Rattus norvegicus: one gene and its partner. The protein of the gene in region 1 purifies or fractionates together with the protein of each later gene. This does not show direct contact. Links are inferred from orthologs where the notes say so. Each region holds a gene or a part of one and is shown on either strand. Other genes may lie near its edges.

What was found. Proteins that work in one complex are often made in the same cells at the same time.
Region 2: the proteins of Isca2 (region 1) and Iba57 purify together in Homo sapiens (co-immunoprecipitation; 4 studies listed by BioGRID and IntAct, with this or other methods). This does not show direct contact. The link is inferred for Rattus norvegicus from reciprocal best matches to the Homo sapiens genes ISCA2 and IBA57.

Annotation. Positions count from the first base shown.
Region 1 is NC_086024.1:110,148,362-110,151,653, reverse strand, and holds Isca2 (iron-sulfur cluster assembly 2 homolog, mitochondrial precursor), read right to left. Parts: upstream 2,062-3,292; coding exon 1,991-2,061; intron 1,800-1,990; coding exon 1,697-1,799; intron 1,582-1,696; coding exon 1,466-1,581; intron 1,062-1,465; coding exon 887-1,061; 3' UTR 551-886; downstream 1-550. Other genes in the region: Npc2 (NPC intracellular cholesterol transporter 2 precursor), read left to right, coding at 2,504-2,594. UniProt on the Homo sapiens protein: Involved in the maturation of mitochondrial 4Fe-4S proteins functioning late in the iron-sulfur cluster assembly pathway. May be involved in the binding of an intermediate of Fe/S cluster assembly.
Region 2 is NC_086028.1:44,447,512-44,451,816, forward strand, and holds the start of Iba57 (putative transferase CAF17, mitochondrial), read right to left. Parts: upstream 2,858-4,305; 5' UTR 2,810-2,857; coding exon 2,469-2,809; intron 1-2,468. UniProt on the Homo sapiens protein: Mitochondrial protein involved in the maturation of mitochondrial [4Fe-4S]-proteins in the late stage of the iron-sulfur cluster assembly pathway. Operates in cooperation with ISCA2 in the maturation of [4Fe-4S] proteins.

The DNA of each region.
Region 1 (3,292 bases):
GTAAATATCTGATATGAGAACCCTGTGGGGGTCGTGCCCCAGAGGTTGAGAACCTCTGTGCCAGAGTGTTTGCCTAGCAGTTACAATGCTCTAGGTGTCCAATCCTGGGGGAGTAGAGGACATACAACCACAAAAAAGAAAAGAAAGGAAGACGAGGAGGAGGAGGAAGAGGAAGAAGAAGAGGAGGAAGAAGAGGAAGAAGAGGAAGAAAAGGAGGAGGAGAAGAAAAGGAGGAAGAGGAGGAAAAAAAGAAGAAGAAAAGAAAAAGAAGAAAAAGGAATGACCCAAGCCTGGTAGTAATATTTCTGCAGTTCCAGCATAAAGAGGCTGAGGCAGGAAAATTGAGAGTCCAAAACTGGGGCTACCTATAAGACTCTGTTGAAAGAAAGAGGGAAGGAAGGAAGGAAGGAGGGAAAGAGAAAGTGGCAGCAGACAATAGTTGTTTGCCTTCTAATCGATTTTGGCCTCAATTCTGGTATTCAAGCTACCCAAACTGTGATCCTGATTAAAAACACGGTAAGAACTTAGTTTATAATGATGCTTTATATATAGCTATACACACACATATAAACAATTTTGAAGGCTAGAGAAGTTAACTCCAAATTTTGGAGTCCTAGAGGTACTAAGTGCTAGGGTTCCAACCAGTGATTAAGGTTGAGGTAACGGCATTTGGATTTGGCCTTAACATTGTGCTGGGGGAGGGGAGAGTATTTCTGTCAAGAGTAAAAGCTTCACATTCCATAATTAATAGTGGTAAAATAAGACACCGCTGGACTAAATTAAATGAGAGGGGGACATGATGAGAAATCGATCTCTAGAATTCTACTATTCCCGGGTTTTTCACACTGGCACAATGGTGGCAATCCCAGAGTCATCTGCCATTGTGTCAGATTTTGATAGAGAAGGATGACCCACAGGAGCAGCCTTGCTGGGCTTGAGGATTATTCAACACCTGGAATGAGCTTCGGATTAGTTCTTGGCTGAAGTCCACCTGGGCCCCCTTAACGTAGGCCAAGCTATCAGAGTCAACCACCACTCTTGCCCCACCCTGTTCAAATACCCTGAAAAGACAAGAGGAAAGCATTAATGACAAATATCATAACCCTGAGCCCAGAAGTGTACATCCTGTTCTCCAATACATGGAATACTGCTTAGGACTTCTAGGAGGTACAGACTGTACTTGAAGCAAAAAGATTCAATGTAAAAAGCAGAAGGACTATTTAAGGACTTGGTCTGAAACTAGTCCAGCCTTTCTCAACTAACTACTCAATGGACCCTAAATTAAGTCAATTTTCTTATTTTGAAATAAAAGGGCAAATCTTTGTTGTATCCTCACACAGTATGGGGAGGGTGGTGTTGTTAAGCACACTTAAGACGCTTGGAAGTTTGGAATAAAAGCGCATCTTAAACTGGGGTCATTTTTATCCCCTAACACAGCCTCTAGCGACCCATCCGTCCTCCTTGCCTGTCGTCGGGGTTAATAACTGTGTCCAGTGAAAATTTGTATTGGAATCCGGAGCATCCACCTCCCTCTACTTGCAGCCTGAGGAATTCTGACCCTTCGGTGATTTCCAGAAGCCTCTGAAATTCAGGAAAGAGGATAAAGAATGCCAAGCAAGCGGAGATAACGGGGCGGGTGAATGGGACCTCTTCTCGAACCCTCCTGGGTACCGCCGCCCTGCGTCCGGCCTCCTACCTGGACGCAGCTGTCTGTGAGGCGGATCTGTCCCTCGCCAGCCTCTGGAATGGAGGACGTTGTTTCCCAGCGGGTCAAAAGCCTGGGAAAGGCGGCGAGGAGCCTGCGATGAGAAGAAGGAAGATGAACCCGGGAAACAAAAGTGGCACCTGATGACCCTCAATGACTCCTCGTACCCAAATCTGACGACACCTTCATCTGAACTGCCAAGCCTTCACCTCCCCCGTGAGGTTTAGTCTCCCATCTATCCTGAAGACGCAGGACCCAACACCCTTCCTAAGTGACGTTAGGTACCTTCCCTGGCGCCTAGGAATGGCGGCCCCGAACGCCTCAGCAGTTAGGGACAAGGCCCTGGCGGCCGCCATCTTATTCCGCAAGCTCCGCCCCTAGCATGGTCTAAATCCCCACCTTAGCCTGGGCTTCGGGGGGCGGGGAGAAGGCAGGGGCGGGGTTGCATCGAGTCTCCGCCCCCAAGCGTGCCTATTGGGTATAACGAGATAAGAGGTTTTGATTGGCAGAGAATGCTTCCACTTGCCGAAACGGGGCGGTACCAATAGAATAGGGGCGAGCGCAAAGAAGAGTGAGGGTTCTCTGGATGCCCGCCCTGGCAGCGGAAGAGATGGGCGGAGATAAAGGATAAGCTGTAGGCTAGGCGGCTGAGGAGCCCGGGGCGGGGCGCGGGGCGCGGGCGGGTCTTCGCTGGTTACTGGTCACAAGTGGCCTGACCTGGCTCCACCCTCGGTCTGCCGGGACAAGTTTATCTTGTGACTGTCGGGCTGCTTTCCCTTCCTAGATTGCACAGCGTTCATGCCCAGGATGAGCTTCCTGACCCCCACGATCCTGCTGCTGGCGCTGGTCGCCGCCACCCAGGCCGAGCCCCTGCACTTCAAGGACTGCGGTGAGCCCTGAGCCCACTCGAGGAGACCCGCGGGGGTGGATTGGGCGGGTTCCTGGAACGTAGATGATCGGCCGCGGACCCTGGGTGGAATGGACTAGGTTGGGGCTGAAGGTACTAGCCTTGATGAAACTTAACCCCTCCGTACAACTTTGTCTCTCCTTGCAATTCGTGTTTTGGGATTATCTCAAACACTCTCAAGGCGAAGTTCTCTAAAGTTTCTTGGGTGAACCTCAAGCGAGTATATCTTTGCAGCGCTCAAGGTCTTGGAGATTTCAATGGACGGAGGAAGATTGCGAATTCAAGGCTAGCCTGGGCTTATTGAGCCCTGTCTGAAAAAAAGTAAACAAATAAAAGCAAAAATTAAAACAATAGGGTAGACAGCGGGTCGGCCTCCAACACGGATTGAGGGAATAGGCACAGAATTTCTTTTGATTTCCGCCTTGTATCTTCACTAGCCTTTACCCCTTTGTTCGTTTGAAGTTTTCTCTTTGGCTGGGAGGGGTCTGAGGCAGCCTCACTCTGTTATATTTTCCAACAAAGAGTCCAGGGGCAGCACTGAGAGGGAGGCGTCACAAGATGTCACTAGATATACGAATTTTATAGGAGACACGGCTCCTGAAGTCATCCAGTCAAGTCTGTACAATTGCAGGAGCAGAGCAGGGGAACGGGGTGGGGGGTGGTGGGGGTGGAAAGCCGGG
Region 2 (4,305 bases), on another chromosome or scaffold:
GCCAGATGGACAGCATCTCCCTGGTAGCCTAGAAGAGGGATTATTGTAACTACTGCTAAAGACACAGGGTTACAACTGTCCAAAACACAATCCTCAGTTATTATGAAGGTTGCCAACAGGCAAGTCTGTGATTGGCTCAAACGTTCTTTTGGCTGTGAAGGCTCCCTTAGTGAGGCTGTGGGGAGACTCTCCTGAGCTTCGCCCCAGTGTGGGAGCAGCAGGCCCAAGAAAAGGCTTCTCTCCGTTTTCTTGCTTTTAGTAGTGTGGGCTGGGCTGGTAACAGAGAAAGTAGCAGTGGAGACAGCAGAGGTCAGCAGAGGCAGTGGAACCCCAGTGGCAGTGGCAGCAGCAGCTGAGCAGTGGACAAGCCAAGTTGCAGAGAAGACAAGACTGCCAGTCGTCTGACAGCTGAGGCAACAGCTGAGCAGTTCGGCAACAGCCTGGGCAGTAAGAAAGATGGCAGATAAAGAGAGACAGCAAGCTGAGACTGAAGAAGGATAAAAGATTGCAAAGGGCCAGAGAAGAGAAACTGCAGGCCCAGGTCACTGAAGACTTCCAGAGAGCTGTCAATCAAAACTTTAGAGCCAAGGGTCTGAGACCCTGTGTGGAGGAGCAGTGATGATGGTTGGTATCAATGGCTAAAAAATCTCAACTTCCTTAGCCCTACAAGAGCTGTAACACTGGCTGCTGCCAAGAGTGGAGGAATCCCAATAGAAGGTCCACAAGAGCTGTAAACATTGTAGGACCAAGGCTGCAAACACTTAGGGTCTTCAACACTAGGGGCAACTGCTACTAGACTGGCAGCTACTGCTCATCATGAGGAATGGAAGTCACCAAAGGCTAGCACCTGGCAACACCCAGCTGCCTATTGGCAGCACACACAGAGATGATGGCATCCTGGAAATGCAGTCAGATCCAAGCCTCCAGTACAGAGTCCATCCATGTTTTCTACAAAGGGCAGTGACTGGTTAGGCTTGAGGTCCTGAGTCACTGCAGCCCTAACTAACACTGCCTGGAAGACACAGCCCCGGGGTTCTCACAGAACTCTATATACCAAAGCATCCTACTGGGTCTGGCCCGTGGGTTGTCATTTGCCAACTTAGTTCTCTAGATTCAGAGATTCACTAAGTAAAGTAATGGGAAGAAGAAAGAAAGAAAGAAAGAAAGAAAGAAAGAAAGAAAGAAAGAAAGAAAGAAAGAAAGAAAGAAAGAAAGAAAGAAAGAAAGAAAGGAAGGAAGAAAGGAAGAAAGGAAGGAAGGAAGGAAGGAAGCAAGCAAGCCTCTAGCTAGCTGGAGAGATGGCTCAGCAGTTAAGAGCACTGACTGCTCTTCCAGAGGTCCTGAGTTCAATTCCCAGCAACCACATGGTGGCTCACAGCCATCTGCAATGGGATCCGATGCCCTCTTCTGGTGTGTCTGAAGACAGCAACAGTGTACTCACATACATGAAATAAATAAATCTTTTTAAAAAAAGAAAGAAAGCACATCACATCGCTTCTTGGCCTTTTGGCAAAGATCAAGTGTAGAAAGCACATCACCATGGCCTTTTAGCACCTGGAGACAGACACTCTAGATTTCGCCTACAGCATGCTGACAGCTACTGGATAATGCTATCATGGCTGCCAATTCTCACTTTCATCCTGGAACAGCCACCCTCAGGGGTTCAGGAATTATTCTCCAATTATGAGGATTCTCCATATACTCCCACTCTGAGCATCTAGGGGGTTACTGAAGAGGCTCACCAAAACCCATGTTAGAAAGACACTGAGTAGCTCAGACTAGTAGGAGTCAAGGAGGAACAGCCCAGGGACAGGCTAGGGAGGGTGGGTCTTCACATGCCTGCTAGATGGTGCTGAGATTTCAGGACTTACGTCCTGTAAAAGTGAGCAACTGAAGACTCAATGCTATGGAAACAGGCCCTGCCCAGGCTGGCCAGCAAACGCTATTTACAGTCACAGTCAGGTCTGCATAGATGAGATCATACAGGCAAACAGCTGGCACGGCAATGAGGAACCGGAAGTAAGGGGGAAACTGGATTCTCAGAACACTAGTACAATCTGTAACTGTGAACAGAGTGGCTCTTTAAATAAAGCCCCAAGGACCAATGAAATCTTTCCAAGAAGTGAGGAGGGAGGGACAAGACTGAAGCCCCTATCTTGAAAATGCTTAACTCCAGAAGCCACTGTATAGCAGTTTCTGACTTGACTGGCTGGGGATCCGTGCAAGTAACTAGCCCAACCTGGATGCCTTTCATGGGAGATCCGCCTCTAGGTGACCCTTTCCCTAAGTCTACAATGTCCTCCTCAGAAAGTCATTTTCAGAGTCTTCTAATTAAGCCTCTTCCCAAAGGTGTCTGGCCAGCATTCCCTAGAAATCTTATCCTGGACATCCTTCATGGGATTCCTGATTAATCTTCTCCCACAACACTTTAACGTTCCTATTACCCCGCCCTGCAGCCCAAAGCTCACCCATACACAATGACGTCATAGAGCGTGCGCCCCTGCACATTTAGGAAATGGGCATAGGCCGCACGCGCAGAGGGCTGAGTCGCGCCGGCCGGAGGCCCCGAAAGCGGCAGCTCATTGGTCAATAGTCCCAACAGGAAGGGTGAAGCGTCCGGGCCGCGCACGCGCATTAAGGCGCGCCCATCCAGCCGGAAGCAAGTCCAGGCTACACTATCCGTGGAGTTGCCGCGGAAAAGGCCGGAACCACGGACTGGGCAGTGTCTCGTGGTCCCGCTCGGCCGCCACTGCCATGCCGGGCTTTTGCGCCCCGCAGCCGCTCCCCGAAGCAGCGCCACCGCTGCCATCTTGGGCGCTAGTGAAGGCGGGCACCACAGCTGCCCCCGGCGGCGGCGGGCTACGCGCGTGCGTGGGGGGAAGTAGGCGGGGCCTCAGCTAGCCGATGGGTGCGCAAGCCCAGATAGAGCCACCCGACGACCTTTTCCTTAGTTGGCTCCCGTTCAAACCCTTTGTGGTTGTGGTTAAATACATAAACATAAAATTTGCCATTTTATGTTGGTCCTAGTGTGTAATCCCAGCCAGCCTCTCAGGAGGCAGAGGCGGGAGGATGCGTGTTCAAGACCTGCCTGGGCAAATTAAAATCCTGTCTCCAAATAAAAAGCGAGGGTTGGGGATTTAGCTCAGCCAGCGGTAGAGCCTGGGTTCGGCCCCCAGCTCCGAAAAAAGAAAAAAAAAAAAAAAAAAAAAAAAGCGGGGCTGGGGATTTAGCTCAGTGGTAGAGCGCTTACCTAGGAAGCGCAAGGCCCTGGGTTCGGTCCCCAGCTCCGAAAAGAAGAACCAAAAAAAAAAAAAAAAAAGCGAGAGTGCTGGAGATAGCTCAATGGAAGAGCATTTCCTAACAGGCAGAAAGCCATGGTTCCCATCACCAGTACTGCCCAGAGAAAAGGAGGGGGAAAAATTGGACATTTGTTCATGGTCAAATACGGACAGTATAAAATTTACCATCTTTACCACTGTTACTTTGTTATTGCTGTAATAAAGAGCAACTTGGGGAGAAAAGGGGTTCACGTCATCTGAAAACACTCAAGTCACACCCACTTACTGAGAGAACTCAGGGCAGGAACTGAAGCAGAAGCCCTGGAAGAAGCTTCTTACTGTCCTGATTCTTAGGACTTTTTCAGCCGGCTTTCTGATACAAATCAGGAACACCTGTCCACAGTGAGCCGGGCCCTCTCACATCAGTCCAAACTTATGGAGACATTTTCTGAAGAGTCACTCTTCCCAGATAGCTCTAGGTTTGTGACAAGTTGAAAACAGACCAGCGAGACCACTTTTAGTGCATTCAGATCAGCTTTGGTCAAATGGCTGCACAGCCCTCGCTAATCATCCAGCTCCAGAACTTTTCTCATGTCTGTATTGACTCCTCCCAGAACACACCAGTCCCTGGTGCCTACAGTTCTCTTTCTGCCCTCGTGTGTTGGAAGCCTCTGAGGACCTTCGGTGCCTGCCTCTTGCACCTGGCTCTCTTCATGGAGCATCCATCCTCACTGTAACACGTATCAGAATTTCCTTCCCTTTTTAAGAATTGTAATTCATTATGTGAATTCCTACCTTTCCCTTATGCACTGGGCTGGCAGTGGGCACTTGGGAGGTCTCCGATTCTTGGAGCAGGAATAATGCTGCTATGAAAATGACTATATGAATGTCTCTTTGAAACCCTGTTCTTGTTTTTTGGGCATACTGGATCATATTACTACCAAGGAAACTGGACTTCCCTTTTGTGTGTTCTTAATCTTGTTAACAATAGAATTTAGAGGGGGCTGGAGAGATGGCTCAGTAGTCG